4 linked regions of the Lonchura striata genome follow. The protein of the gene in region 4 interacts with the protein of the main gene of each other region in a pairwise test. Links are inferred from orthologs where the notes say so. Each region holds a gene or a part of one and is shown on either strand. Other genes may lie near its edges. The genes, in order: DTX2, TMEM79, surfactant protein C and SEC22A.

Region 1 (7,561 bases), on a different chromosome or scaffold from region 4:
AAGGAAATCTCCGCTGGGGAAAACAGGCAGAAGGCAAAACGGGATGAGTTCTGCTCCTAATTAGCATTAGTGGTGAGGTGAATGTGGCCAGAGCAGGTAAGACAGAAACACAAACCAGAGGACTCGGCTCCAGAGTTTCCTGGCTGGATTTAACAAAGGCAGGGATGGAAAGAGCCTTTTGATTGGGGTCAGGATGACAGGAGAAGGGGCTGGGGTTTCAAATGAGAATGGTAAATTTAGGATTGACATAAGGAAGGAATGTTTTATGATGAGTGTGGTGAGGCCCTGGCACAGGTTGCCCAGAGAAGATATGGATGCTGGAAGTGTTCAAGGTTAGGTTGGGTGGGGCTTGGAGCAGCCTGGGATGGTGGAAGGTCTCCCTGCCCATAGCAGCGGGTTGGAACAACCTGGGCTGGTCCCTTCCAACATAAACTGTTCAAGATTCTGTAATTTCCTCTGAAAAGGCAGGCAGTGGAACACAGAGAGCTGAGCTGAGCTCATGGGGCATCTCCCACTACCAGCAGGGATGAGGAACAAGTCCCTCTCAGCAGGTAAATCCCAGGGTTGGACAGCAAAGTCACCCAGCAGGAGGGGAATGCACACACCAGATCCATCCCTATTTGTCTTTCGGGTCCCTGGCAGGAACCAGCAGCAGCTGCTGCAGAGGAGAATGAAATGAAATTTCACCTATTATCCTTTGCCTGCAGAGGAATTTATTCCTAATTCCTGTCACTTTGTGTTTGTCTGCTCAGGGAAATTAATCTGAAATCGAGTGGGCTGTGAATTCAAAGTGCTGCAGCAATCCCAGCAGAGCTTGGACAGGCAGTTTCCTGAGTGGCCAGGCTATTCCCTGGAGCACCAGGCTAAGCCTGGCAATTTAACAGAGCCTCAAGCATCAGATTTTGTAGACATTAGTGTAGGACCTTGTGTGAGAGGGAGCAGCCACAGAGAAATTAATTCAAAAGGCTTCCAGCACCACTGCAAGAACAGGAGCTGGGGGAAGGCAAATATTTGGCTGGTTACCCCAGTGTGTGGATGGATCAGACAGGAGTTGATGCCTTGTTGGAGGACTCAGTGCTTTGCATACTGATTTGGGGTGCATGCAGAGAAGGGTGTAGGAAAGAACAGCATGGGGAGGAAGGGATCCAGCTGAAAAAAAAAAAAAAAAAAAGGCATAAAGGACAAAATCTGGGGATTATTAAGGTAAAAATAATGTAAAATATAAAATATTTTTGCAGGCAGTGAGGACTGTGAGGTCTGCATCCCTTGTTTTCACAGGTCCTTAGGGACAGCAGGACATTGAGGTTCACCTTTCAGACTCGGGGAAGATCTTTGCAGTCACCCTCACAAGATAGAAATGTTGGAGGAAGTTGTGCAGTGGGGTCTGACAGGCTCAGCTGGTCACCAGACCCCAGATTCATGTTGCCCGTGGCTCTGTTAACCCCTTTCAGGTTGTTGGACCATCATGGAATGCGGGACAAGTGATGAAAAGGTGTGAGTGAGAAAAGGGAGACTGAGGACCAGCCATGCACTTGTACTGCTGAGATGAGGTACCTCAGCCACTCTCTGTGCCTGGCAAAACCCTCCAGGGACCCTTATGCAAGATCAGATCATGAATCCCTGCTCAAAACGAAAAAAAAAATAAATCCAATGCAATTCAAGACTCTTCCAACAGCTCAGCCACCACCTGACTGGTTTATCTCCACCACACTGCCCTTCCCTCCACCCAGGAGCTGCACCCAATTCACCTCTGCTCTTCCCCACCCTGCAGCCCATATCAGTAGCACCTTCAGCCTCGGAGCATCACCCTGAGGCCTCACCCATCCTCTCCCAGCCAGGATTCCTCACTGGGAGCATCCCTTTATCTCCCAGCCATGCCATGAAGGTCTGCAAGACTGGACAGAAACCCTTCTTCACCATTCTCAAAACTCCCTGAAACATTTTTCTATTTAGGATCATAGGACATTTCATACCTGCCCACCCATGCAACCACATGGATCACATAGTCTGCTCCCAGCATGGCTTTATGAAGCATCCCTATCTATTTTTTAGGAAAAAAAACCCTTTGCATTGCTCTCCAGTTTCTAATTACAGCCACAGGAGACAGGAATCCCAAGCACCTGAGTTGTAAATGTGAAACTTATTGCTTTAGCAGACACATTGCAAGCAGGCTATCAATCACTTCTGGCAATTATTAGTACTTTGTGAGTATTTTGAACTCAAGTGTGTGACAGTCTCATCCGTCCTGGAGCAGAGAAATCCATGGGCATTTGCATACAAGGCTGAGCTGTGGGGGGATGCAGCTCCAGAGGGTTTTCATTGGAGCTGTCATGGTTATGTGCTTGCCACTGTACATTTTGGGATGAAAACCAACTTTATTCAGGGTCTGTGAAGATGAGTCTCACATATTGAATCCTGGAAGAAGAGTTTTATAATATCCCTCTATTCCTACAGTATGTAGTGGTTCTGTATGTTATTTTTTTTGCTGTAACTATTGACTCCAAACATAATGTTCTTTATTTTATAAGACTTTTAGGGCAGGTGTATCATGTCATGGGTGAATCAGTGCTGCTGGGTGTAAAGTCCAGGGAGGTTACAAATAATTTGATAAGAATTGGTGAACACTTCCTGGTTCAGAAGGAATTATAGTGATCTTAAGGGTCTTTCTGAACCTAAATGATTCTCTGGTTCTGTGGTTCTTTAACCACTGCTGCTGAGGTCTTGGTGGGGGTCCCAGGAAAGGGAAAAACCCAGGTGGGGTCTGACCTACCTCTAAGAGAGCATGAAGAAGTGATGCAGCACCCTCCAAGATGCTCCAGGATCAAAGGAATCCCGAAATAAACACACAGCTCTTGCAAGGGTGGCGATGGAGGTGCAGCAGCTGGGAAGGAGCAGCGCTATGTCCTCGGAGAGATCTGTGGCACACAGGGCTGTGTTCCAGCATCCTCACCCCAGCCAGGGAGCAGGCATCTCCACGGCTCGGCTCTGGAGTTACTTGGATGTAAAGGAAACCCTCAAGGTGCTGAGCAGCTGATTCATGCAGGCTGGATGTGGCTCCAAGGGTCACACCCACGTTCCTACAGGAGCTCCCATGCCCGGCACCCAGAGGTGCTAAACTGGAGGAGAGGGTGCACTGGTGGTGTGCAACACACACACACACGGGCACACTCACACTCACAATCCCCTGCACACACAGAGCATCTCACACCCCAGTACTACACATGCTCACACTCACACGGGTGTTATCACACTCACACGGGTGTTATCACACTCACACAGACGGTATCACACTCACACAGACCATATCACACTCACATGGACGGTATCACACTCGTGCACACTGCCACACACACTCTCACACACCCCACACCATCACAGACACTCTCACACTCGCTGCCCCACATACACACTGCCAGTTCTCTCTCACACTGTCACTGTCACTTACACACTTTCCCACATCTGTTCACACTCATTGTGACACAATATCACACACACACTGTCACATACACAGTCACACTCTCACACGCTGCCACTCGTGCTGTCACACAGTAACACACATGCTCATTATCATTATCACACACTCATTACCACCCTTGGTCCTGCACACTCACACTCATTACCATACTCATTATCACACTCATTCCCATATTCATTATCATGCTCATTACCACACTCAGTCCTGCACACTCACACTATCACACTTATTACCATAATCACTTATTGACATATTTACTATCACACTCATTACCACACTCAGTCCCGCACACTCACACTCTTTATCACATTCACACTCTATCACACTCATTATCACACTCATTACCATACTCATTATCACACTTATTACCATACTAATTATCACACATTACCACATTCATTACCATATTCATTACCACACTGGGGTTCTGCACTCTCACACTATCACGTTCATTATCACACTCATTATCGCACCCATTGCCATACTCATAATCACACTCATTATCACACTCATTACCACACCCGGTCCCGCACACTCACACTCTATCACACCATTACCACACTCGTTATCACACTCATTACGACACACTCACACTCTTTATCACACTCATTATCACACTCATTACCATATTCATTATCACACTCATTACCACACTCATTATCACATTAATTATCACACTCATTACCACACTCATTACTCACTCGGTCCCACACACTCGTTATCACACTCATTACCACACTCGTTATCACATTAATTATCACACTCATTACACACTCATTACTCACTCGGTCCCACACACTCGTTATCACATTAATTATCACTCTCATTACCACACTCATTACTCACTCGGTCCCGCACACTCACACTCTATCACACCATTACCACACTCGTTATCACACTCATTACCACACTCGTTATCACATTAATTACCACACTCATTACCACCCCGGTCCCACCCCGCCTCGCGCTCGCCGTTCCTCGCCCTCACGCCTCCACCAATCACGTCCCTCCCTCCCCGCCTGGCCCCGCCCCCGGCCCCGCCCCCGCCCGCCCCGCGGCTGGCTGGCGTGCGCATGCGCAGAGGCTCCGTGACCGCGGGCCGGGAGCGGCAGCGGCGGGCCCTGCTCGGGGTGAGGGGCCGGGGGGCGGCTGAGGGGCGACGGGACCGGGGCACGGCGGCGCCGGGACGGGGAGCTGGGCTGGGTTGGGTTGTGCTGTGCTTCGCGAGGCGGGCACCCGCTGGCTGGCACCCCCGGCACCCCGTGCTCTGTGCCGCTCAGCCCGGGCCGTTCGCGACGGACCGCCCGGGCCGTTGCGGCCGCTCCGGGCCCGGCCTGCCTGGCGGCCCGGAGGCACGGCCGCTGCTCCCCTCGCAGCAGGCCCCCGCCCCTCCGCAGCTCCCGGGGCGCTCGGTGTCGCCCGGACACCCCCCGGCACGCGTGGGGTCCGACGGTGTCCGTGGTACCGGGAGCCAGCAGGCGGCTGCGGTGGGCGGCCGGTGCTGCCCGGGGCTCCCTGAGGGGCGGGGGGCCCCGAGCCGCCGGCTCCGCGGGCGGGACCTTCCGGAGCTCCTGCCACGGGCCGAAGGCGCTGGGGCGCTGGAGGAGCCCTCCAGATCGTGCCAGCTTCTCACTCACTAGTCAGTGGTCTCCCCGCGAATAAATGACCCGCCTGGGTGCCCAGAAGGAGCCAGGAGTAGTCGGGTTGGACGCAAAGTGTGCTCAGATCCCGTGTCCAGGTGGGATCCTGTGTCTGAGTGTAGCTGCTTTCCTCTCGCTGCCTCCGTTTTTCAATTCACCCATGCCCGAAACCAGCCCTCGGCTTAGCTGACAGGGAAACGCTTTGTTCCGCCTCAGTTGCCGTCTGTATTTTCCCCCTCCGAGGGGAACTTGCTTAAAAGCTTGTTTTGAATGGAAGCAGTCCAGGTTTGGAGCAGCCGGGTTTATTTCTTGTTGTTTTGGCTGTTAACCCAGCCACCTTGTGCCGTGAGGATCAGCAGAGGCTGGGAGAGGGCAGGACTGGGATGGGTCTGCGTGCTTGGAGTTATTACTGTGACCCTTCCCTGCTGCCGAGCTCTGTTCTTTCTCTTTGGTTGGTGCTGGGTGCTTGTGTAAGGAAAGAAGTGTTTGGGTATGAATTACCTGGCAACAGCTGCCAACCCTGTTGCATCGGGTTTTGCTGTGCCCGGAGGTGCAGCGCAGCTGGTGTGGGAGCCCTGGTTTGGGGTCGGGGGAGGACACCGGGCACTTGTAATGCTGTTCCAGTCATGCCCCGTCTTACTGCAGCCCTGTGGCCTCACTGTGCTTTATGTGCTCCCCTAATCCCTGTGTAATCTCTTCCCATGGGATCTTTGGTGCCCTCCCAGTCCTGACTCTAAGATGTTTAAAGATCCTTCTTGGGCTCTCTCTTTTCTGAACAACCTGCTGAAAAGTCTCTATTTTACCAGTCTGATGATTTTTATTTCTAATTCAGCCCAGCTAAAGAGCTCCCAAGGCTCTTTTTCTTTTCCAGGTACAATGTCACATTTTGTGATAACTTTTATCAGCGGTGGCAATTCAAGTTGAGAAACTTAACAAAAGGAGTTGGCATTTTTAGAAATCATCTCAGACCCATGAATTTTAAGATCCTGCATTTAAAGAGAAAGAAAATTCTGCTTTCTGGAAGTAGAACAGAGAATTAAACACAGCTTTCAAAGGTTTTAATTCCTGTTCTCCAGCTTTCTCACCACCATTTGCTGGAGTTTGAAGAGCAGGGAGTGAAGCTGCTGGAAAACACATCTGAAATGCATTGTTTTTTTCCTGTCCAAGTCCCCAATTAAAGCCATGTGGACAAATGTTTCAGAGGTTGTGCTGGGCATAAAGTTCCAATCAAACAAGTCCATCTTCGAGCTCTGAGCCTGTGTTACCAAATACCTTCTGAAGGGCATCTGGGTATATTTAAGTCTGCACTTGAATTAGCCAGGGTTTTGTTTTCACTGGAGGAAGGGTGGCCCAGAGGATTTCTGGCTAGAGCCATGACTAGAGCTTTTAGGGTTGATGTGAATTTCAGCTTTTCAAGGTATTTTTAAAGCTTGAGATGAAGTGTTCTACTCCATAGGATTTGAGTAAAGATGTGAGCTGGGATGTGTAACACATCCCAAACCACATCCCACTCTTCCCCAAACCCTTTCTGCTGCGGTGTAATGCAGAACACTGTACAAGCAGCTCTAGTTTTGAATTTCTCAGCTTTTACTGTTTGTGTGCTGCTGAATTCTCAAAGAGAAATCAGGAACTGTAACTTTAGGCCTTTTCTTTTTAGTTTCCCATAACTCCAGGACTTGTGTAATTCTGGTTTACTGATGCTCTCGTGCATTCCTCACTTCCCAATCTGTGCAAACAGCTGCTGGCTCCAGCAGCTTTCAGCAAGAACTGGCAAGAGGCTGAAATACGCCCCTCGCTCCTCCTTTGGAGCAGCAGTCCCAGCACAGGAAATATTTTTCCACTCTGATGGGGAAGTGGATGTTGGAGCACGCGACGCTCGTGCAGCCAGCCCGGGTATCTTCACATGTGGTCCAGGATTCACAGCACTGCTGCCACCCCGGCGTGAGGGACAGGCTGTTGTCACCCAGCTGTTGTCCCAGCGAGTGTAAGGTGGCACGGGAAGGAGGTGGCTTTTCTGCTGCGGTGTCTGCTTGTCTGCACTTCCTGCTGCTGTTTCAGAAAGGAAGGAAAACGAACCGCTGACTCCCTTCTCACAGCCTCCCTCTTCTCTGCTCTGCGTGTGGCTGCAGATGAATATTTGGTAATAACTTTGGGGGGGGAAACAGTGTTGGTTCTGTATATTTGGGGTTCAGAGCACCTAGTGCAGGTGGGTGGGACAGAAAATGCCACAGCCTGGCTCCTGCTCTGAGTCGAGCATGGATGATGCTGCTGATCCTTGAGCTGGAAAAGTGTTGGTGTGAAACCTGCCTTAAAAGAAGTGGCAGAGGCAGGTGTTGGATTTGATACCTTGAGTCGTAATTTGCTGTTTTGAGCAGTGAACTAACTGTCCTTGGTGTGTTAGGCAAGAATGGATTACAAGGAAAAGATTAATACCAGAGACCAGGGT
Region 2 (7,962 bases), on a different chromosome or scaffold from region 4:
TGACAACCAGCCCCTCCTGCTCACTGTCCTCTTTCTCATATGGCCTGAAAGGTGTTTGCAAACTCTGACAGCTTCATACCCTCATAGCAGGAAAGAAGCAAGTAAAATACATTTTGGTTTACAGGTAACAGGCACTGAGTGTGCAGCATCCATGCAAGCTCATATTTGGGTTAGGACAACCCAAAAAGCCCCCAGTTTAGCTTCCCCACAACAGAACCCTACAAAGCACAGGCAATGCACCTCTCCTTACTACAGCCTCAGACTGCTGTCCTAGCTGTGGCTCTCAAAGTCCCTTCCAGCACACCAGGAGCTGACTGGCTTCCTCTACAAAGGGTGACCAGGGGAAAGAGGAACTGCTGGTTCATTTGATTCCCAGAGAGAACTACAATAGTTGATTCCTGACATAAGCAGTAAAGCAGCTGTAAAATAACATTCTGTGGGCAACAAATCTCAGCTGTGTGCATCTGAAACAAGCACACGTGTCCATAACAGCCAATGTGGAAAATGATCCCAGTGGCCTGCCAAATGAGAAGTACAAAAAAGTTTCCTTCTGGGGACAGAAGGACATCACCTTCCCATCAAGGTGGCCCAGAGGGTATCTGCCATACAACCTAATTTTATACAACAACCCATGGATGGGCACATGCACACACTTGGTATTTCTGCTGTTCTTTCAGTGTTTGTAAAGAAACAGAGTTTGTGACCAGAGAGCAGCAAGGCTGACACTAGGATGTGTGTCATGAAGCGTCACACTTCATCAGCCCTAAGGGAGGCCTCAGCTGAAACACTGCCTTCTGCACATCCACACAGGCCCTGTGGTGCTGCTGGAAGAGAAGAAGGCAGGAGTAAAGCAGAATGTGACAGCTGGTGATTCCCTGCCAGGATCCCACATCTGTGGTGCTGGGGAAAGAGGACTCAGTGAGGACAAAAGGGACAGGAGCCAGCCTCACTCCAGAAATGCTGGGAAACACCAACACAGCTGCTATGGGCCATGCTCTGCTGGAAATGCACTTTAGCATCTGTGCCCTCAATTGTCCAAGACCACAGGTTGAACTTTCCCTAGCAGTTAAGAACGGAAATCCTGTCCCAGGACCCACTTTTCTACCTGCTGTGTTTAAACATTGCTTTCAGACAGTATATTAGAGCCACAAAGGAGGCACATCAGATGCCAGTCTATTAAAAGAAACAAATACAGCACATGGTGCCAAGCAGGGTGGAAACAGGCTAATGCCAAGTCTTCTCGAGCCATATAGACACTGATCAGCCCCTTTTCCTCCGTGCAATTAACACTCTGGGACGGAGCAGGACAGCAGGGAGAATTATTTGTCCCCTCTGTTTATTTAGGACATCACTAAGAGCCACAGTATCTGAGGAGTAAGACATTATTAAGAGAAAAGACCTGCAAGTCTTTTAGCTGTGCTCTGGCATGTGTCAGTACACTTTCTGGAACAGGTTCCACAAAACAACAGCAACACTGAGTCCATGAGCTAATGGTTACCCAGAAAGCTGTAAAATAAACCTGGTCACCTTACGCTACAACAAGCATTGTAAAAGTGCACCCATTATAATGCAGTTGCCACATTTCAAGGTGAAACCTGGGAACTCTCAATCTAGGAAGACTTGGAAAAGATCAAAGAGTACCCTATGAGAAGCAATGGGCACCTTCCTCTCTGAAAGGACACTCTTGACAGCCAACATGCTGCCAAGGACCTTGGAGACCTGAGCTCAGCTCCCACAAGCTGACAACACGCTGATCCCATGGGATCACAGTTTAGAGCTGGGACTATGGCATTCACGCATCTGTGACTCAAAGGTGCCACTTAGTGGGACAGTCATGAGCTCTCAGACCACAGCCACCACACAACAGGCAGGAAACTCCCACTTCAGGCTGGAACAGATGAGAACTGACAGGAGACTGTGAAGGTGGGAACCTGCTCAGAGAACTGTCAGCTACAAGGATAGAAATTTGTGGCCACTGCAGGTACTATAAATCCTGCACTAAAATCACAATGCTTCCTCCCTGCTAAAGAAGAGCTGTCCCTGCAGGAGGAGGGTGCTTCTTTTTCTGCTGTAAGAACTCTCTAGAGCAACTACACGCCTTATTCTGCTACAAAAATTCAAACAGAAAACAACCCCTCCCTTGCAGGGATGACAATTCCTCATCTGGCCACAGGCCGTTCTCTTGCTGGCTGCAGCAGAACGTGAGGTTCCACTTGACAGATGAGCTGAGCAGCACCAGGAAAACAAAGCAAAACAGGTCTTGAACAACAACGAGGAGGGTTTCAACAAAGGCAGAAGCACACACATCCTGCACATCCTCTCCAGCCCTGTCCCACACTCCTTGGGCAGGGACAGTGCTCTGCTGCTCTAGCTCAGCCTCCAGCAGATGTGGTGGAGATCACTGAAGGTGCAGCAGACACAGAGCCCCACAGCCCGGGGTGCTCTGGGCAGGACTGTGCAGCCTATACCTCCATCACAAGGTAAAACCCTGCCCTGCTGTAGAGGTAGGCAGTGAGGTCCCACAAGGTGCAAGGACACAGCCAATGTCATCAAGACAAAAAGAAATGGACCCTCATGTAAAATTCATCTCTTGTCTCCATCATTTTGCTCATCTTTGAGACCCAGAGCTGCTGCTGGAACTCCTGTGGATCTGAGCCAGAAAGGAACAATTTCTGGGCTGCCCTCACAAAACAGATCAGGAGCAGAGGGGGCCTGAGCTCACCAAGGCCAGCAGGAGTGCCCCAGTCCTGTTCTCTGATGCCATTTCCAATGCATGGTGTAGAAATGTGGGACCAGAGTCCCAGGGAGTGCTTAACTGGAAAGATCTGCAGCTGGAGCTGTCTTGCCCTCCACACAATAGCAAAGTGTCCCAGCTCACACTCCTGCTCATCACACCCACTCCAGCACTTCTCACATAATCCCTGCATAGTACCAAAGCCAGGGACACCCTCTCCAACCCCTCTCTCTCTGGATGACCCCACATCTCACCCTTATCCCACTGTATCCCAACAACTCCTTTCCACTCAGCCCCCACCATTCTCTCTGAATCCCACTGAATCCCTTTTTCCACCTCCCCATGTCCTTACTCATTATCCTGGGTGTCCCCTTACCCCCTTCCTGGTCTCCCACCTATCTCCTTCCCCTATCTCTCCATTCTCCCATCTTACCTGGATCTCCCACAGCTCCTTCCCCCAGTCCCTTGGTCTGACTAATCTGCCCTGAAGCCACCAGACTCCTTTTCCCCAGTGGAACCCCTCCATGTGTTGCTTATCCCCTCTGGATCTCATACAACTCCCTTCCACACATTGCCTTTCCCTGGTCTTCCCTAAACCTCCTCCCTCTCCTCTCCCTTTGCACTGCATCCTTTCCCTGGATTTCCCCACAACTTCACTTCAGTCTTCCCTAAATTCCATAATCTCCTTTCCCCATCTTCTCTGAATAGCCCTCCAATTCCCTTCGCCCTCGTTCTCCCAGTCTCCCCCGGATTCCCCTGGATTCAGGAGCCCCCTCCCCACCCCGCTCCATCAATCCCTGCTGTTACCTCGATTCCACCATCTCCTTCCCCCCGAATCCTTCCCTGACAACTCCCTCATCTCCTTTCCTTCCATCTTCCCTATATCCCGCCACCTCCTTCACCCTGCTCCTCGCCAGGCTCGCCCAAGCTCCCCCGCCCCAATCCCCTTCGCTGCCGTCACCCCCAGTCCCCGCCGGACGCTGCCCAGCCCCATTCTCCCTCTGCTCTCCTCGGGCACCCCCAGTTACCCCCCGTCCCCCTGAGTAACCCCCCGACCGTCTCCACGCCGGCCCTCCCCAGCCTCACCGGGAGCCGCCCCGGCCCCTTCCCGACACCGGCTGCCCCCGGTGTCCGCCAGCCCGCTCCCCTTCTCGGCCACCGCATCCCCTCCGGCCCCTCTGCTCACCGGTACAGCCGCTTGGTGTGCAGCACCTTGGCCTCCGGCTCGCCGCTCTCGCCGGCGGCCCCGCCACCCTGGCTCATGGCGCCCGCGGCAGGCCCGGCCCGGCCCCGCGGCCCCTCAGCACCGCCCGCGCCGCCGCCGCCGCCGCCCCCGGGCCCGCTCGGCCGCCATGGCTGCCCCCTGGCCCTCACTGCTCTCGCGAGATTTCCCGCGGCCGCGCCGCGCCGGGCGGGCAGGGCGGCGGCGGGGGCGACCTGGTCTCGCGAGAGCCAGCTCGCGCGAGAGGCCCGCACTTAGTGCTGGCAACATGGCGGCGGCCGCCTCAGGCGGGCGGGCCCGGTGCCGGGGCGGGCGCGGTGCCGGGGCGGGCCCGGTGCCGGGGCGGGCCCGGTGCCGCCCGGTGCCCGGGTCGAGCGCTGCACCAGAGCACCCCGCCTGGCTGTGGGGTCGGGAGCGGGGGCGACGGCGCAGGAATTCCTCCCCGCGCTCTGGGATCCCGAGGGACTGGCCAGGCATCCCGGCGGGTCCTGTGGGGCCGCGGCTCCCGCAGTGGTGTCTTCATGCTGAACCTTCTCACCTTCTGTAAACGTAACTGTGCCGTCACGTAACTTCTGTAAGAAAAGTTGCTCAAAATAAAACGACTTTGTATTTCAAGCATTGTGTTAGGTTACGATACATAAATGTTCTTTAGGTGGGCGGTGATGTGTATTAGACGGGTTAATGTAAATTTTACTGTATAGAAGGTGTAACTTCGTGTTACCCTTGGTGCGCTTGATTTGTGGAAAGCTCCACCTCGCACCCTCGCAGAATGAGCAAGGGCTGACTTGTCCGTCCCCTTTTTAAACTCTCTGTGTGTTTAGAGAGCTCTTTAACTTGGCACGCCCCGAGCGGCCCACAGGGAGCCGGGGGTCCCCCGCCTGCCACGGGGGACAGCGCCGGGCTCGCCCCGTCCCCTCCGCCGAGCCCCCGGGGCCACGCCGGGCTGGGACGGGCGGAGCGCCCGCCCCTCCGCCCGCCCCACCTGAGCCGGTTCGGCAGGTTCGCGGCGCGGAGGCGCCGGGAGAGCGCTGGAATCCCGCAGGGTCCCGCAGAGCTGCCCCCATGGCCCCCCGCCCGAGCCCGAGTGAGTGCTGCCGCGAGGGGAGGCGCTGCCCGGGGGAAGCGGGGCTGGGGGCTGCCAGAGGGGCTGGGCTCCGGGACCGGGCGCTGGAGGCACGGGAAACCTGGGAAGCTGTTTCAGCCCTAGTTCCGTGTGTGGGTCGCGGAGGAAGCCCCAAGCGGCTCCGTGCCTCAGTTTCCCCACACCTGTGGCCAGGCCAAGTTCCTGAGGGTGCAGGGATCAATGTGCTGAGAGGAGCGAAGGAGAAACGTTCATTGCAGGAGGCAGGCAGGACACTGAGGACGGGCCAAGAGACAAGGTTTCCCTAAGGGTAACAACATGGAGCTCTGCCCGTACCTCCTGCACCCATGGAAGGGCACCCAGCAGCCACTTTTGTCCACCCCACATCAGTCTCAGCTACAAGAGGCAGCAAACCTGGCCCGTGCCCGCTGTAGCCATGGTTCTGGGAAGCAGCTAGGTCACCTCTCCCCAGGGCTTGGCTGGTCCTGGCCCGGGAGAGAGCCACCAAGGAGCCAGTTGTATCTGCTGGGTTGTGCCCAGCTAGAACCCCCAGGATGTTGAAGTTATTCCTAGGCAGCCCTGTTTTGCAGCCAGACCTACACCTCCAGAGTTCACCCCTCCCAGGACAGTACCTGACCCTGCTGCCAGGGGCCAGAGCACAGGGACACCAGGCACTGCTTTCCCCTCCTAGTGCAAGGACAGCCGGGTAGTGGGGGCTCCAGGGCTGCCAGTTTGCTCCCACTTTGTAACTGGTGCTGTGCATGTGACCCCAAACCTCTCATTTCTGATGTAAATTTATCTGTCTCCTTTCTCCTGGTCCAGGGTGAAAGCAGAAAGGACAGGAACTTTATCCCCTCTGAACACCACAAGTGCAGGCAGCAGTGTTACCAACCCCCATCCCTGGCAGTGTGGAGCTGGACACTCTCATGGCTGCTGCAGACCCTGTCCAGCCCCCTGAGGAGGTGGCTCTGCTGGAGCTGGGGAAGGTGGCCCTGGCCAAGGTGCCACCAGCCCCAGGTGAGCACCAGGGGGACCCTGATTCCACCCTGCCATGGGACCAGAGTCAGCACAATGCCTGGGGCCAGCCGGAGCTCGTGGAGACAAAGAGGCGCTCGAGTCCTGAGGGTGGCCATGAAGACCCAGAGGAAGCTGCTCCCACCTGCCCCACAGTCGAGGCTGAAGATGAGGAAGTGCCCCGGCTGCCCGTGATGGCGGCCCACGTCTTTGTGCCCATCGACCCGCAGTGCATCGAGCAGAGTCCCATCAAGCAGAAGCAGCACCCAACCCCATGGCCCCGGGAGGAGAGCAGGGGGGATGTTCCCCCCAGCGTCCCCCCCAGTGACAGACCCAGCAGCCTCCACCACAAGCAGGTCTTCCTCCCCGTTGGCCCCTCGCGCTGCCGGAACCCACTGGGCTTTGAGGGGCACATGGCCAAGCCCCCGGCTGAGGGGTCACGGTGCCCGTGTGCCAGGGACTGTGGCACTGATAATCTCAAGGCTGTGGCATCAGTGGCAGGAGCCCTTCTCCTCTGCCCTTGCCTCATCTATGGTGCCTACATCTTCTTGCCCTTCGATGCCCCACTGCTGCCCACCGTCAGCGCCCGCCTGGTCTACACATTGCGCTGTGCCACCTTTGCCACCTTCCCCATCGTGCTGGGTGAGCCATGGGCTTGGGTATGAGTGCTTTACTCCTGCTCTGGGCTACGTGAGCCTGGGGCTGCAGGAGCAGAGTGGGGCTGAGCTCTTTGTGGCTCTGTTGCTCCCACCAGGAGCAGCAAATGGAGATTTTCTCCCCTCCTGCTTCTACCCAAACCCCACCGTGGCTCCACTGGGCATCCACTGAGCCTCTCTCTCTGTCCCTCAGGAATAATCGTCAGTGGCATCTCCCGCCTCTGCTCCTCCGCCCTGGAGCCCTTTGGAGAGCTCCACCAGGAGGTGGAGATCCACCGCACTTACGTCTCCCAGTCTGTCCATCTCTTCATCCTCTACTTCTTCAACATGGCTGTGCTGGCCACCTACCTCCCACAGGAGCTCCTCAAGCTCATCCCACTGCTCACAGGGCTCTTCGCCATCTCCCGGTAAGTGGCTCCTTCACCCCAGGCTGCTGGCTCTGTCAGTGCCAGCCAGCACCGTGCCTTGGAGCAAACTCCCACTGTGGCAGCACCTTACGCAGCTCCCCAAAGCCAGGAAGGGTTCCTCTTCCTACGGCAGCCATGCCTGGGAAATCCCCACTGGTCAGAACCAGTGAGTGCCAGCCCCACAGCATCACCCTGGCTGAGCCCGCACCCTCTGCCTTCTCCAGGCTGATTTTCTGGATGTCCTACGCCATCGGCCGCTCCTTCCGTGCCTTTGGCTTCAGCATGACCTTCCTGCCGCTCCTGGCCATGCTGCTCTGGAACCTGTATGGCATGTTCATCCTGGAGCCCGAGAACCTCCTGTCCTTGGCAACGCCAACGCCCGAGGGCCACTCCAAGGAGAGCCGAGCTAAACTCCGGCACTGGGGCTGAGGGAGGCCAGGAGATGGGGCGCCTGCACCCTACGAGTCTGAGCCCTCCTTCATGCACTGCCTCAAGAGCCCTGACAGCACAGGGGTGCTGGCACATCCAGCTGGGCCCCCGCTCCCTGCCTGGACACAGGGAGGTTTTGCTGGGCCCACCGAGCCAGGCTACAAACCCTCTGCACCACGAGACTCCTGCTGCAGCTGAAGAAGGGCCAGAGCAGGACAATGCAAGCGCTCTTCCCTGGGAATGGGGTGGGATTTGCTTCCTCTCCTGCTGGAGCCAACTTTGCCCAATAAAGCCCTTAACAAGCAGCTCTGTGGCTGGTTTGCAGAGGGTGAGTTAAATTCCCCAAAGAATGACTCAGAGCTTTGCCTACAGGATGTAATCATCCAGCCTCAAAATTATGTTTCCAAGAGGGAAAAAAT
Region 3 (6,950 bases), on a different chromosome or scaffold from region 4:
GCACAGGTACTGCAGGTGCGGGAGCCCGGCGAAGGCGTTGTCCCCGATCAGCGAGAACTTGTTGGAGTTGAGGAGGCTGCAAAGAGAACGGGGGAGGAATCAGCGGCGGGCCCGGGCAAGGTGGGCACCGCGGTGGGCACCGAGCGGGGCACGGGGGGCACGGGGCACCTACAGGAACTGCAGGGAGGGGATGTGGGCGAAAGCCGCCTCCCGGATCTCCGTGAAGGCCGCGTTCACCATGGTCCTGCGGGAGAGACGGGGCTGCGGCACAGGGCACGGCCTGGCACGGCCACCGCCGTGCCCCCGGCGCGGGCTCCGTGTCACCGGGCATCGCAGAGGGACCCGGCGGCCGGCCTGGCCGGGGTGGGCACACGGAGGGGACGAACTGCGGGGGCTGGCACCCGAGCCGGGCCGGCACCCAGCCTGGGCTGGCACCCGAGCCGGGCTGGCACCCAACCTGGGCCGGCACCCAACCTGGGCCGGCACCCAACCTGGGCTGGCACCCGAGCCGGGCCGGCACCCAACCTGGGCTGGCACCCACGCATGGCATGGGGCCATGTGCACACACACGTGTGTGAGGGCACAGAATGGGTGTGTGAGTGCGTGCACACAGTGTAACACACACAAATGGGTGTGTGAGTATGTACACACAGTGTAACACACACAAATGGGTGTGTGAGTACGTACACACAGTGTAACACGCACAAACGGGTGTGTGAGTACGTACACACAGTGTAACACGCACAAAGGGGTGTGTGAGTATGTACACACAGTGTAACACGCACAAACGGGTGTGTGAGTACATACACACAGATGTAACATGCACTAAGGGATGTGTAAATACATACACACAGTGTAACACGCACAAATGGGTGTGTAAGCACACACAGACAGGTGTAACACATAAATGGGTGTGTGAGTACATGCACACAGTGTAACACGCACAAATGGGTGTGTAAGCACACACAGACAGGTGTAACACACACAAATGAGTGTGTAAGCACACACATACAGTGTAACACACAAATGGGTGTGTGAGTACGTGCACACAGTGTAACACACAAAGACAGGTGTGTGAGTACATACACACAGGTGTAACACACACAAACGAGTGTGTAAGCACACACACACGGGTGTAACACACCCAATCAGATGTGTAAGCACAAACACAGTGTAACACACACAAATGAGTGTGTAAGCACACACACACGAGTGTAACACACCCAATCAGGTGTGTAAGCACACACACTGAGTAACACACCCCAGTCAGGTGTGTAAGCACACACACACAGTGTAACCCACACAATCAGCTGTGTAAGCACACGCACACTGAGTAACACACCCAATGAGGTGTGTAAGCACACACACAGGGGTGTAACACACCCTGTCAGGTGTGTAAGCACAGACAGGTGTAACACCACAAATGAGTGTGTAAGCACACACACACAGGGGTGTAACACACCCAGTCAGTTGTGTAAGCACACACACACAGTGTAACACACCCAATCAGGTGTGTATGCACACACACATGGGTGTAACACACTCAATCAGGTGTGTATGCACACACACATGGGTGTAACACACCCAGTCAGGTGTGTAAGCACAGACAGGTGTAACACCACAAATGAGTGTGTAAGCACACACACACATGGGTGTAACACACCCAATCAGTTGTGTAAGCACACACACACAGTGTAACACACACAATCAGGTGTGTAAGCACACACACACAGTGTAACACACCCAGTCAGGTGTTTTAGCACACACACACAGTGTAACACACACAAACGAGTGTGTAAGCACACACACACATGGGTGTAACACACCCAATCGGGTGTGTAAACACACAGACATGGGTGTAACACACCCAATGGGGTGTGTAAGCACAGACAGGTGTAACACCACAAATGAGTGTGTAAGCACACGCACACAGTGTAACACACCCAATCGGGTGTGTAAACACACAGACATGGTTGTCACACACCCAAACGAGCGTGCAAGCACACGCACACAGTGTCACACACCCAAACGAGCGTGCAAGCACACGCACTCAGTGCAAACACCGCCCCTGCCGCACACCCCCGCGCCGGGCTCCGCCGCGCCGCCCTGTCCCCCACCACGCCCCGCTTGGGGACACGGTGGCCAAGGTCACCGCCGCGTCCCCCGCGCCGGCTCCGGTCCGTCCCCGGGCCGGCGGCGGGGACCGGCCGCGGCCGCGCTCGCCTTGGCCCCGCGGGACACGGCCACACGTCCCGGGATGTCCCCAGCGTCCCCCGGAGCCCCCCGCAGGGCCGCCCCCGTCCCCCCGGGACAGCCCCTGCCACCCCCGCGCTGCCCTGGCGTGTGACACCGCTGTCCCCACCGCCGTCCCCACCGCTGTCCCCATCTCTGTCCCCACCGCTGTCCCCACCGCTGTCCCCACCGCTGTCCCCATCTCTGTCCCCACCGCTGTCCCCACCGCCGTCCCCACCGCCGTCCCCACCGCTGTCCCCACCGCTGTCCCCACCGCTGTCCCCACCGCCATCCCCACCGCTGTCCCCACCGCTGTCCCCATCTCTGTCCCCACCGCTGTCCCCACCGCCGTCCCCACCGCTGTCCCCATCTCTGTCCCCACCGCTGTCCCCACCGCTGTCCCCACCGCCGTCCCCACCGCCGTCCCCACCGCTGTCCCCACCTCTGTCCCCACCGCTGTCCCCACCGCTGTCCCCACCGCTGTCCCCACCGCTGTCCCCATCTCTGTCCCCACCGCTGTCCCCACCGCTGTCCCCATCTCTGTCCCCACCGCTGTCCCCACCTCTGTCCCCACCGCTGTCCCCACCGCCGTCCCCACCGCCGTCCCCACCGCTGTCCCCACCGCTGTCCCCATCTCTGTCCCCACCGCCGTCCCCACCGCTGTCCCCATCTCTGTCCCCATCTCTGTCCCCACCGCTGTCCCCACCTCTGTCCCCACCGCCGTCCCCACCGCTGTCCCCACCGCTGTCCCCACCGCGGCTACTCACAGCGAGATGACCTCGGGGGGCAGGTTTTTGGGCACGGCCTTGGAGTCCACGCAAAAAGCCGTGTCGCGGGTGCAGGAGCAGCTCGGGGGGCACGGGGGAGGCCGCGGGGGCCGCCGCCCCTCCGCCGGCAGGCAGAGGAAGGCCACGGCGAGGAGGAGGAGGAGGAGGAGGAGGCGAGCGGGGAGCTGCTCCCTCGGCATCCTGCCGCGCCGCAGCTCCATCGCTCCCCAGCCTGATCCCTGCTCCCAACGCCGCTGTGCCCGGCAGCTGTGGAAAAAAATCTTTATTTTCCTCTCTTTTTTTTATTTTTATTCCCCCGAGGATCTCAGCGTGGAGGAGAAGCGGCGGAGCCTGCCTGACCCGCGGCTCTGCAGCACATCATGCCCGGTGCTGCGGGAGGGAGGGAGGGAAAGAGGGAGGGAGGGAGGGAGGGATGCGGCTGAGTGACATCGCCAGCATCCCCGTGCACGCGTGTCCGTGCGCGCGTGTCCCCGGCAGCGACCACCCTCGGGGCTCCACGCCGCGGGTGGGAGCGGCCCCCGGGCTGCTTTTGGGGTGCGCAGAACTGGGGAGGGGGGACACGCCAGGGGTGATGCCCCCGCAGTGGCTCCCCCAGCTCGGCGCCGCAGCGCTGCCCGCTGCGGCCGCAGCGCGCTGGGCAGCGATCCACGCCGCCCCGGGCACCCGGCCGTCCCTGGCACACATCTCTCCCGTGCCAGGCGTCCATCTGCGCCCGGCCTGGCACGGAGCCTGCGGGAACAATGAGTCCAGCCAGCTCCTTCCCCACCCCGGGGGGGGGGCTCGCACAGCTGCCCGTGCAGAACCAGGGGTGCAGCCCCCCTCTCCCGGGACCTGCTGGAACCCCTCTGCCGCAATCCCGGGATGGGTGTGGAGGGAGGGCACTGCCCGCTGTTTGCCTTGGCACCCCCACAGCGCTGGCGGGCAAATGGCACGGAAGGGCCCTCGGAGGCTTCTTGTCCCCTCCCTGGCTCTTGTGCGCGCTCAGCAAACAGCACAAGCGGCACTCGGCAGCTGGAGTGGCCCCAGCCTTCCCCGGCCGCCCGGGATCCTATAAATACCCCCGGGCCCGCGCTGGCAAAGGGACAGGAGCGCACGGGGAGATGGACGAGAGCTCCAAAGAGGCGCTGATGGAGGAGGCACCTCCGGTAAGGAGCACCCAGCACCCACGCTGGGCGCGGGGCTGAGTCCCCGGTGCCCCGCGGTGCTGGCGGCTCAGCCGGGCGCTCCCCCGTGTTCCCCCCACCAGAGGTACACGGAGTCCCCGCGCCTGCCCTGCATCCCCCACGAGCTCAAGAGCCTCTTGTTGATGGTGGCCCTGGTGGTGGTGGCCCTCGTGGTGGTCAACGTCGCCTTCCTCCTGCTGGGGCTGCGCCTCAGCGAGTCCCACGCCGAGACGGTGAGGGCAGGAAGGGACCGCGGTGCCACCGGCGCCGGGAAGGGGTTGGGATGGCACCGCGGCTTTGTGGGGAGGGGGCTCAGCCCCCTGAGCCCCCTGAGCCCTCTGCCCCCGGCAGGTGTTGCGAATGACCACCCACGGGCTGGATGGCGACGGGAGCCCGCAGCAGCTCGCCGTGAGCAAGAAGGAGCGGAGCGGGACGTTCGCGGTGCGGGACGGGCACAACGGCTCGGCCGCGGTGGTGTACGACTACGGCAAGGTGCGGGGGCACCGCGGGAGCGGCGGGGCGGCCCCGGGGCCGTGCCGAGCCGAGCCGGCTCTGTAGGGAGCGCTGGGCTCCAGGAGGGTTTGGATGGGTGGAGACGAGAGATCTCTGGAGGCTGCTCTTGGGATATCAGGTTTATTAGGGATGGAGAAAGGTCTTGCTTGGAGCTGCCCGGCGCAGCACGGGGCAAGGCCTGAGGGGATGGGGAGGGGAGAGACAAGAGGATGCTCCAGGAGAGGGTGGGAGTTCCAAGAGAGCCGGGATTCCAAGAGAGAGGAGTTCCAAGAGAGGAGAAGAAGAAGAAGAAGAGGAGGAGTTCCAAGAGAGCGTCCGGCCCCTCAGACACCCCTTATCAGGTGGTTCAAGGTGGGCTGGAACAAGATTTGGGCCAATGGGGTCACAGACACCTGATGCATCAGGGGAGGGTTACAGGTGTGGGATGAACATTTTGGGGGTTGAGATGGAACAGTCCATTTGACTTTTGGACCTACCTGTAGGTAAGGGTGTTGTCCATCCAGTAGGGAGGATTGTTTTCATCCTGGCTGTACTATAGTGAATCTTCTGCCAGGCAATTCTATTTATCCATCCTTCCCAACATTTATTTCCGATATTTATCCATCCTTTCCTCTGTCTGCCAACAGCTGCTGGTGGGATACAGGTCCTGGCGCCGCCGCGCCTGCCTCATCACCCGCCTGGACAAGGACAACTTGCCGGGGCTGGACGCTGTCACCGAGACCTTCCAGCGCCGGCAGGTGAGCGGTGACCACTGAGGGAGTGGAGCCGCACTGGGCTCAGCACAGCCCAGCCCTTGGGAAATGTGGGGCTGGGGGCTTGTCCCCTCTGGAGGGGACACTGTGGCTGCCGAGAATTGTAAATGCAGGCGAAGCCAATGGGAAGAAATGACCATGTCTGACTCAAGTCAGAAGGATGAATGATTTCTTTATTAAAACTATGCTAAAATACATCAATATACTATATAAAAGGAGGATACTAAAACTACACACTACTTTCTCTGATTTTAACTCTAACACCCTCTCTGAGAGTCCAGCCCCAGGTGGGTTGGATTGGATTGGGTTGGATTGGGTTGGATTGGATTGGATTGGATTGGATTGGATTGGATTGGATTGGATTGGATTGGGTTGGGTTGGGTTGGGTTGGGTTGGATTGGCCACCAGGCTCAAACAATCCTCACCAGAATCCAACCAAGCACTCACCCCAGGTAAACAATCCTCCAAACACATTCCACATGGGAAAACCAAGGAGCAGAAACAGAAATTGTTTTCTCTTTCATTTCTCTTTGTGCTCCTCTATGAAATTCCTGAGAGGGAGAGAACTTTGCCTGCCCCAGCCGCGGGTGGCAGCTCTGCTCCGTGCTCTGTCCTGCAGGATGAGGACGTTGGGGACAAGGCCATGCCCCTGACTGACCGCTCCATCCTGGGCACCACCATCAACATCCTCTGCAGCGCCGTGCCCGTGTTCTGGGTGTAGCAGCAGCTCCCAGCGGGATGCGACAGCCACGCGGGGATGTCACCGTCCCCCACGCCGCCTTCCAGGAGGGACAGCTGGGAACGCTTCCTCCTCCTCCTCCTCCTCCTCTTCCTCATCCCCATCCCGGGGACAGCCACCCCGCCCCGGGGGTGCTGCATCCGCTGTCGCTTGGCACTGCGGCTTTCCCCCTGCTGTCTCCCTAAAAAAAAGTGGGATTTGCTTTGGGATTTGCTTCTGTCTACAAAGTAAAGCCTGTGTTCACCTCCAAGCGTGCTCTTGCCCTTCCTGGGTGCTGGGGACAGGGACACGGTGTCCCAAGGGTGTCCCTTTGCAGGGTGCAGGGTGGGGAGGGGAATCACTCACGTTGGGAGGGATCAAACACGGGGAGGCAGCAGCAGAAGTGCACACGATGCTCCCATTGTCCCCATCCCTCATATTGTCCCCACCTGTGTCCTCCTATTGTCCCCAACTGTGTCCCTCCAGTGTCCCCATCCATGTCATCCCAGTGGCCCCACCAGTGTCCTCCTATTGTCCCCAACTGTGTCCCCCCAGTGTCTCCACCTGTGCCCTCCTATTGTCCCCAACTGTGTCCTCCTATTGTCCCCAACTGTGTCCCCCCATTGTCCCCACCTGTGTCCCCCCAGTGTCCCCCAGTGTCCCCACCTGTGTTCCCCCAGTGTCCCCCCATTGTCCCCACCTGTGTCCCCCCAGTGTCCCCCCAGTGTCCCCAACTGTGTCCCCCCATTGTCCCCACCTGTGTCCCCCCAGTGTCTCCAGCTAT
Region 4 (7,237 bases):
CATTAATATTTTACATGTTCAATCTCATCGTACTTGCTTTGCTCCTACAACTGAAAACAAAGAACATAAATACCACTAACAACAGCATGTATGCACAGACAACAGACAAAACAAATGATAAAGACATGTTCAGAGGTATTCTTTCAATTTTTATGTCTAATCTGTATGTAAATAAATATTTGCATAAATCTTGAACACAACTTTCTTTAAGACTCCTGCTTACATTCAGAGAAAAACAGGCTCTATAACAGAAGATAAGCCTCTACTGAAACCTGCCAATTCTCTTCATATATGACAAAATCACGCAAGGTAGAAATTGTGCTGAGCTGAAGATCCTAACACCAGTTAGGTTTTGTTACCATCATCTTAAAAACCCACCCAGTGAAAATATGAACTTTTTTCTCAGCCTCCTAACAGCAGAATCAGAAAACTATCTAAAAACCAAAGCTAATAAATTACTTTGGCTGGAAGATCATATGTATGTCAAGAAATGTATAATACACGTACTGTAACAGAACATTCAGCCTTACCTGAAAATGTATTATCAAAGAAAGAAAGTTTATTAAATCTATTTTATCCAGCTCTCAAAACTATACAGCTTTACACAAAGAGCTAAGTGGTAAATTTGATATGCACTTATATATTTAGAGACTGAAGAAAGACAAATATGCTTTTAGAGTTACTTCTAAATGTCTTTTTGAAACATCTATTCAAAGCTGCATTAAGTAATTCACCAAATTGTTACAAATTTCATACATTTTCCTCCAAAAATTATGTATCCCTCAACCACCTGAAGATGACAAAAGACTGCACTTTCACTACAAATGGCCTATGAATTTCTTATAGGTGCCAGGAAATGAACAGATTGGGTTCACGGCCTCATTCCATGACAGAACTGTGGAATACCAAATCCAACCAGCAGCTGTTTGGGTCACAGGTATCACAGAGGATCCAAAACTTGTCACCAGCCAGTGGAACCCCTTTGTCACAGGCTGCTTAAGAAGCAACTGGAAAAGTTCACAGAAAAACTACCTGGGATACTAAAAGCAAGTCATAACCTTTTGCTCAGAGGGATTCTGACCCCCACACAAACACCAACAGGGAAAGTACCTCACAGAAGCAGCACTCCATGCTTGCACCATTCTTGTTTCCCTTAGCTAGTATTTACTTCTGCCCCATTGTTGTTGATTTTCCTTTTACAGCCCTCCCCACAAATGAGAGGACTCATGGAAAAGAGGAGCATGGAGAAAGCTGGCCACAGACAGGTAAGAGGGAGCAGGGTGGATATTCCTCTGTTACTGCACGTTCCCAAGAGCTGTCCAATTCCTCCTGCACATGTCAGTATCCACTGTTTCAGAACTAGCAATCAGCACATGTGCCTGGTTTCATTTCCTCCCATGAACAAGAAACCTCAGGTGACAGAAACCAGAGCCTGTTTCACTGTACTTGTTTTTTTTTAAGCCATATTCAATTATCATGTTGTTTATTTCAGTGTTACGATGGTACCTAATCCACAGCATCTACAGAAGTCCTAGAAACACTGAAAACGGAGAGTGGAGCATTCTAGCCTTTTGTAACAAATTCATCATCTAACTTGTGATCTGACAGTTAATTGTTTTAAACATATCTGACATAGTCTTGTAACACTTTTAACAAGTGTTTGAAAGTGACTTGTGACTATGATTTGCTCAGGATGCTTCACTTAAAAAAAACTCTAGCTTTCTCAAAATTCTGACCAGATCGAGTGTAATGGCAAGCTTACCCTCCTGCACCTGATAACCTTCAGCCAATTTAATCACCGCATTTCTTGTTGGGATGTCTGCCTCTCATAAAACCTTTCCATAATATATAAAACTGGGAAGGTATGCAAGCTGAACTCCTGTCTGACACAGAATACAGATAAAACTTCTGTGCTTACATAAAACACATACCTAACACTGTTGGACAATTTATTGTCCCCACTTCTGAGGGTTGTGACAGCTGCATTATACAGGAGGGAGCTTAATTTTTTCATACTACATAATACTTCAGAAATTCATATCACAAACTGGAGCACTACAGAAGGACACAACAAACAAAGCTACTTTGACATCATCGGGTATGATAAGACAAGGGAATAATCCTAAATCACCAGCCAATATAATAATTCTTTCCAAAAAGTCAGGGGGAAAGAGATCTCAGAGGCAGAATCAAGATTCGCAGAATCAATGAGGTTGGAAAACACCTGAGATCTTCGAGTCCAACCTGTGACTGGACACCACTACCGGGTGCCACGTCCAGTCTTTCCTTAACAGGTGGCTCCAGGCACAGTGACTCCACCACCTCCCTGGGATCCCAATCCAATATATAATCACCCCTTCGGAAGAAATTCCTCCTAACGTCCAAACAATTCTGACAAGCTAAGGGAACGGAACGAGTTGCACCCCAGAGTTTGGGAGCCTGACCCTTTCGCCTAGCACCTACTTACGTGGCAGCTCGGGCACGGCCCCCAGCGGCCGCAGCAGCCGCGCTGACTCGGCGGTCACCGACTCGGGCGGACCCGCACCGCTCCAGCTCACACAACTTCACAACCCTCCCGCCTGCGGAGCGGCGGAACCCCTGCGCACGGCGGGCTCTGCTACCGAGCGGCGCTTGCCAGGAGCCCCGAGCGGCCCTGGCTGCCTCCCGCACCCCCCGAGACGGCGGCGGCCCCGCGCCGACCGCGGCTGAGGCGCGAACGCAGCCGGCCGGGAGGCTCCGCGGCCGGGCCTGGGGCCGGCAGGGGCGGGCAGGCGGAAGGGGAAGGGAGCGAGGAGAAGCGAGGCGGCGGCGGGGCAGTGCGGGCAGGGCAGGGCAGGGCGCAGGGCAGGGCAGTGCGGGCGGGCGGCGGCTCCGGGCGCGGATCCCGCCCCGCCCGCGGCCCTCAGGGCGCCGGCCGCGCGCGGGGGGCGCGAGCCGTACCTGGCAGCGGGGCGGCGGCGGCGCGCGGTCCCGCCGGGCATTGTGGGAGCGGACACGGCCGCGTGCGCCGCAGCGCCCCCGCGCGGGGCGGGGCGGGGCCGCCCTGAGGGGACTCCGGGCGCCGCCGCCCTCAGGGGTCGCGGCGGGCCCCGCTGTCAGCCCTGCCCCGCGCCCCGCCGTCAGCCCTGGGCGGCCGCCCTGCCCCGGGCCCCGCTGTCAGCCCTGCCCCGCGCCCCGCTGTCAGCCGTGCCCCGCGCCCCGCCGTCAGCCCTGCCCCGGGCCCCGCCGTCAGCCGTGCCCCGGGCCCCGCCGTCAGCCCTGCCCCGCGCCCCGCCGTCAGCCGTGCCCCGGGCCCCGCCGTCAGCCGTGCCCCGGGCCAAGGGAACGCCGCCCTTGCGTGGCGGGATGCCGCAGCCAGACTCCGGGACTCCCGGGCCCGGATCGCGGCCGCGGGTGTGTCTCACCGCCCGGGCGGCAGCAGCCGAGCACCGCCGGCGCTGTCTCGCACAGCCTCGTCTGAGGCTGAATTTATCATAGAATCACCCAGGTTGGAAAATATCTCCGGGATGATAGGGGCCAACCTATGACTCGACACTATCCTGTCAACCAGAGGTGGGCACCGAGTGCACATCCAGTCTTTATTTAAACACCTCCAAGGATGGTGACTCCACGGCTTCCCTGGGCAGCTCAGTCCAGTGTCAAACCACCCACTGTGAAGAAACGGCTTCCTAATGATCCATCTGAGCCTCCCCTGGTGCACCTTGCGATTCTCCTCCTGTCTGTGCCCGGGGCGAAGAGCCCGACCCCGCCTGTCCCAGGGAGCTGCAGGGAGCGGTACATGAGCCCCGAGCCTCCCCTCCTCCGGGACAGCTCGCTCTGCTGTCAGCACAGCTCAGCTTTAGGAGCTGTGCGCTTTGGGCTCTCCCGTGTAATAACTTCTGACAGCTGCTGGCTGGTGTCCGCCAGGTTTAATGGATCACACAGCCCTTGGCATGTGCCTGGCACTGTGTGGGTAACCAGGTAGGTTCGGGGTCCTGTGCTGGGGCAGTGAGCGTGGCTGCTGGCACCTGTGTGATAGGGACAGAATAGCCACCAGCAAAAGTGCACTGAGATGAGACCAGATGCTAGGCTAATCTCACTCATTTCCCAAGAAATTAACTGGGCATGTTTCAACAATAAATGACAATACAAAAGTGAAAGTTTGCAAACTCATTAGTAACCCTAGAGTGAGGTTCCTATTTTAAATGTTTTTCTACTGATACAAGGATAATTTTCTCACTGTATCACTCTTTGACTTCACTGTTTTCATACCAAATCACACCATTTTAGTCTGTTGGCTCAAATCTGAAATGAAAGCAGTTTATTTCCTCACTAACGCCTTTTAATTTCTCCTTCCATCTGTTACTACTTCACTTATCCAAGTGCCTGTAGCACAGCAGTATTGGGACAGAGGTAACACACCTCACACTCTGGACTCTCAGGCTCTGCTGAGCCCTACTCAGGAGCAAGGCAATCAGGAAGATGGTGTTGGAGAAAATCAACGGTCTCCAACCTCAACTCTTACTTCTCCAAGCAATTTTATGCAGACACCTATGGCACCCCTGGATATCAGAGGGGCATTGCCTCACTCCATATTCCAGTGATCCAAGTGAGGAAAAACAATCTCTTAGATCTTAGAACGTGGAGTAAATTGCTATTGCTGGAGATTAATTGTACCCTTTCAGCCTCCAGGCTTTCTTCTCTGTCTTCAAGCAAAGCTCAGCCAAGCCAAGGGTTCGATCTCCCTGAGTCAAGCAAGACCACAGCAAGGGATACAAGATTAATTGTGGTTCTGGGGCTGAGTAACAGAGGGGGAAACTGGCAAAAAGGGAAAAAGGGAAAAATTGTTTCTAGAGCAGACTCGAGACAGGAAAGTGGTGAAGAGGGGAGTCAGAAGATGGGGCTGGCATGGAGATGTGGGAGGGGAAGGAAGGAGCAGGTGAGCAGAGGGGCAACAGCAGGAGAGTCACCTGCTTGATGAGGTTGTTTTTCTGTGAACTTAAAAGCTCAAGAAAAAGTGATGGGAGTCTTTCCTAAGCATCCTTCTCTCACTGCAAGCTGACTGTTGATGGGAGCTGCCAAGGATGTGCACCATGAACGGGTCTTGCTAAAGCCTTGCAAGGGATGGAACATCTGCATGTTTGAATATACAACTTGGCATCTGCAAGTAAGTATCTTGGCCTGTCAGGAAAAACTGTTCCCAGTCAGGCTTTTGTAGAGTGGAGCATGGGAACATCTCAATCCTGACTGACTATGCAGAAGTAAAGCACATGTTCAGAAGATGATACATTAATCTGAATAATTTCCAGAGAGTCCTTATCCTGTATAAACAGAGTGCACGGTATTACAAGCTGCTGCACAGTTTAACAGCTTATGATAGCATCTACTATAATGCAGAGAACTAGTGATTACTTAATTAGAGGCTGTCTAAAGGTTTGTGATAAGTGCATACATGTGCAATTTTATTTTTTCTACTTCTTCTGAACTGTTTATCTTTCAACACTAAAATTCTCTTAACCTTTTGTAAATGTTTTAAAGAAAAAAGATAAGCATTCTTCATTTACATAAACAGGATTTCAAGTATTGTATACACATCTATTAGTTAAGACTCCTAGGGGAAAAACCGACATTATTCTTTATTTTCAGGTGAACCTGGCCCCAAGAGGTTAAATAAATCACACAAGGTCACTTGAGGGAGGTAGCGGCAGAGTCAGAAATGAGGTTACAACTCCAACCCTCCCAGCTCTCATGGTGAACTTAAATCATATCTGTTATTCAAGAATTTGCATGGCTAACAAGCCAGTTACACTTTAAATTGTGTCTTTTCCTTGTCCCATTGACTCCCCTAAGACACGGAAGCAGTAAAACATTGTCAGAGGGGCAGCGTGCAGTGAATGCATTAGTGAAAGCTGCAGCCAGAGATAAAACATTCCTAAGAAGTAAATCCAGTCAGTGCAAAGGGAAGCCATAGTGGAGGAATGAGGTGTTTCAGAATGAGGAGGAGAGATGAGGAGACAAGAGAGGTGTGGATGGTGTCAGAGGTTGAAGGGAGAGCGGGATGGGAAGGATGGGTGACAAAGGAGTGCCCATGGTGCCAGCCCCCTCAGAAATGCCAATGAGGGGCCTCTACATGAGCAAAACAGAGAAGCCATTACTTGCCAAGTGTGTCATCAGCCAGCTGAAAGCAAAGCCTAGCAGCAAATGCTTGGAGATGAGTTAGGACAGGATTTACCTCACAGATGTTCAGTGATCTGGAAATTGCCCTCTGTGAAGAAGCTCTGTGTTGCTATTTCTCCTCAGTCATTGCAGGGAGCAGACATGTCCAGCTGCATTTATGCACCTTGGCTTTGGATGACTTAAGGTAGGGAAGACAAACCTTTAGGCTCTGTCCACTGGATTTAAACATGACTTTAAAATCAGGTTTCCCCAAGGAAAAACACCAGCCTGAGGAGCTGGCAGTAGTTGTGTTCATCAGTGCTGGAGTCACAGGAGCAACAATAAAGGTTCTGAAAGGAAAATTCATACTCAGGGTTTTTTGCAAAAGAAAACACTTTTCTGTTTACTACACGTTTCTCATTATATTGCTCCTTTCTCTGTACCATTTTTTTTCCCTTATATCTTCCTTAAAGTTTGGTGCTTGAAGCTGGAGGTATTATTCAAGCTGAGGCTTTAACCAGACTAACAACCATTAATATGCTTCCTGTTTCTTGGATAGTAATGTCAATTCCCAGGAAAAAACAGGTATGTTGAATTGGTGCATTCAGGTGGAGTGCAGCCCAGCTGCATCACGAGGCCTTTGCACTCCGAATCAGGCTGCTGAAATCATGGCACTAGCTAAAAGCCCATGACTTTCTAACAATTTTGCACTCTAAAAAACTGCATTTGATTTTAGAGGTTTTAGAGAAACCTGTGTCCATAATCGCAAGAGCAAGGATTATGCTCACTGCAATGAACTGTTCTTGCTAACACAGCATCAGCAGAAGTGTGAGCAAGGTCATAAAAATCATCAGCAGATTATGCAGTTTATTTCCTCACTTCTCTTTTTAAAAACCTCCTCTGCTGATTCAGTCTTAAGGTCCTGTGCTGGGCCCAAAAGTTTCTTTCCTGGAGCACTAGTATTTAATTCTCAAGGGCTTTGCAAGACTGAAGCAACCTCGTAATGTCACAGAAAGTCTCTCACTGGCAATAAATGCAGCTGTTAGAACAAAATACAGCATTGTCCCAATGGCTCTTGTTGCAGCAGGGCCCAGTATGATCT

The links.
Region 1: the proteins of SEC22A (region 4) and DTX2 interact in binary tests that used the Homo sapiens proteins (3 or more experiments, as listed by UniProt). The two-hybrid records come from large-scale screens. The link is inferred for Lonchura striata from reciprocal best matches to the Homo sapiens genes SEC22A and DTX2.
Region 2: the proteins of SEC22A (region 4) and TMEM79 interact in binary tests that used the Homo sapiens proteins (3 or more experiments, as listed by UniProt). The two-hybrid records come from large-scale screens. The link is inferred for Lonchura striata from reciprocal best matches to the Homo sapiens genes SEC22A and TMEM79.
Region 3: the proteins of SEC22A (region 4) and surfactant protein C interact in binary tests that used the Homo sapiens proteins (3 or more experiments, as listed by UniProt). The two-hybrid records come from large-scale screens. The link is inferred for Lonchura striata from reciprocal best matches to the Homo sapiens genes SEC22A and SFTPC.

The regions. Positions count from the first base shown.
Region 1 is NC_134622.1:5,678,999-5,686,559, reverse strand, and holds the start of DTX2 (putative E3 ubiquitin-protein ligase DTX2), read left to right. Parts: upstream 1-4,552; 5' UTR 4,553-4,605; intron 4,606-7,561. UniProt on the Homo sapiens protein: Regulator of Notch signaling, a signaling pathway involved in cell-cell communications that regulates a broad spectrum of cell-fate determinations.
Region 2 is NC_134635.1:1,095,541-1,103,502, reverse strand, and holds TMEM79 (transmembrane protein 79), read left to right. Parts: upstream 1-4,945; 5' UTR 4,946-5,040; intron 5,041-5,859; 5' UTR 5,860-5,963; coding exon 5,964-6,693; intron 6,694-6,900; coding exon 6,901-7,114; intron 7,115-7,338; coding exon 7,339-7,543; 3' UTR 7,544-7,848; downstream 7,849-7,962. Other genes in the region: nonsense-mediated mRNA decay factor SMG5, read right to left, coding at 3,921-3,997.
Region 3 is NC_134634.1:3,610,537-3,617,486, reverse strand, and holds surfactant protein C, read left to right. Parts: upstream 1-4,105; 5' UTR 4,106-4,120; coding exon 4,121-4,165; intron 4,166-4,266; coding exon 4,267-4,416; intron 4,417-4,534; coding exon 4,535-4,675; intron 4,676-5,322; coding exon 5,323-5,433; intron 5,434-5,600; exon of another isoform or gene 5,601-6,067; coding exon 6,068-6,169; 3' UTR 6,170-6,437; downstream 6,438-6,950. Other genes in the region: LGI3 (leucine-rich repeat LGI family member 3), read right to left, coding at 5-76, 173-244, 3,000-3,220. UniProt on the Homo sapiens protein: Pulmonary surfactant associated proteins promote alveolar stability by lowering the surface tension at the air-liquid interface in the peripheral air spaces.
Region 4 is NC_134610.1:10,875,852-10,883,088, forward strand, and holds the start of SEC22A (vesicle-trafficking protein SEC22a), read right to left. Parts: upstream 3,013-7,237; 5' UTR 2,941-3,012; intron 2,659-2,940; exon of another isoform or gene 2,468-2,658; intron 1-2,467. UniProt on the Homo sapiens protein: May be involved in vesicle transport between the ER and the Golgi complex.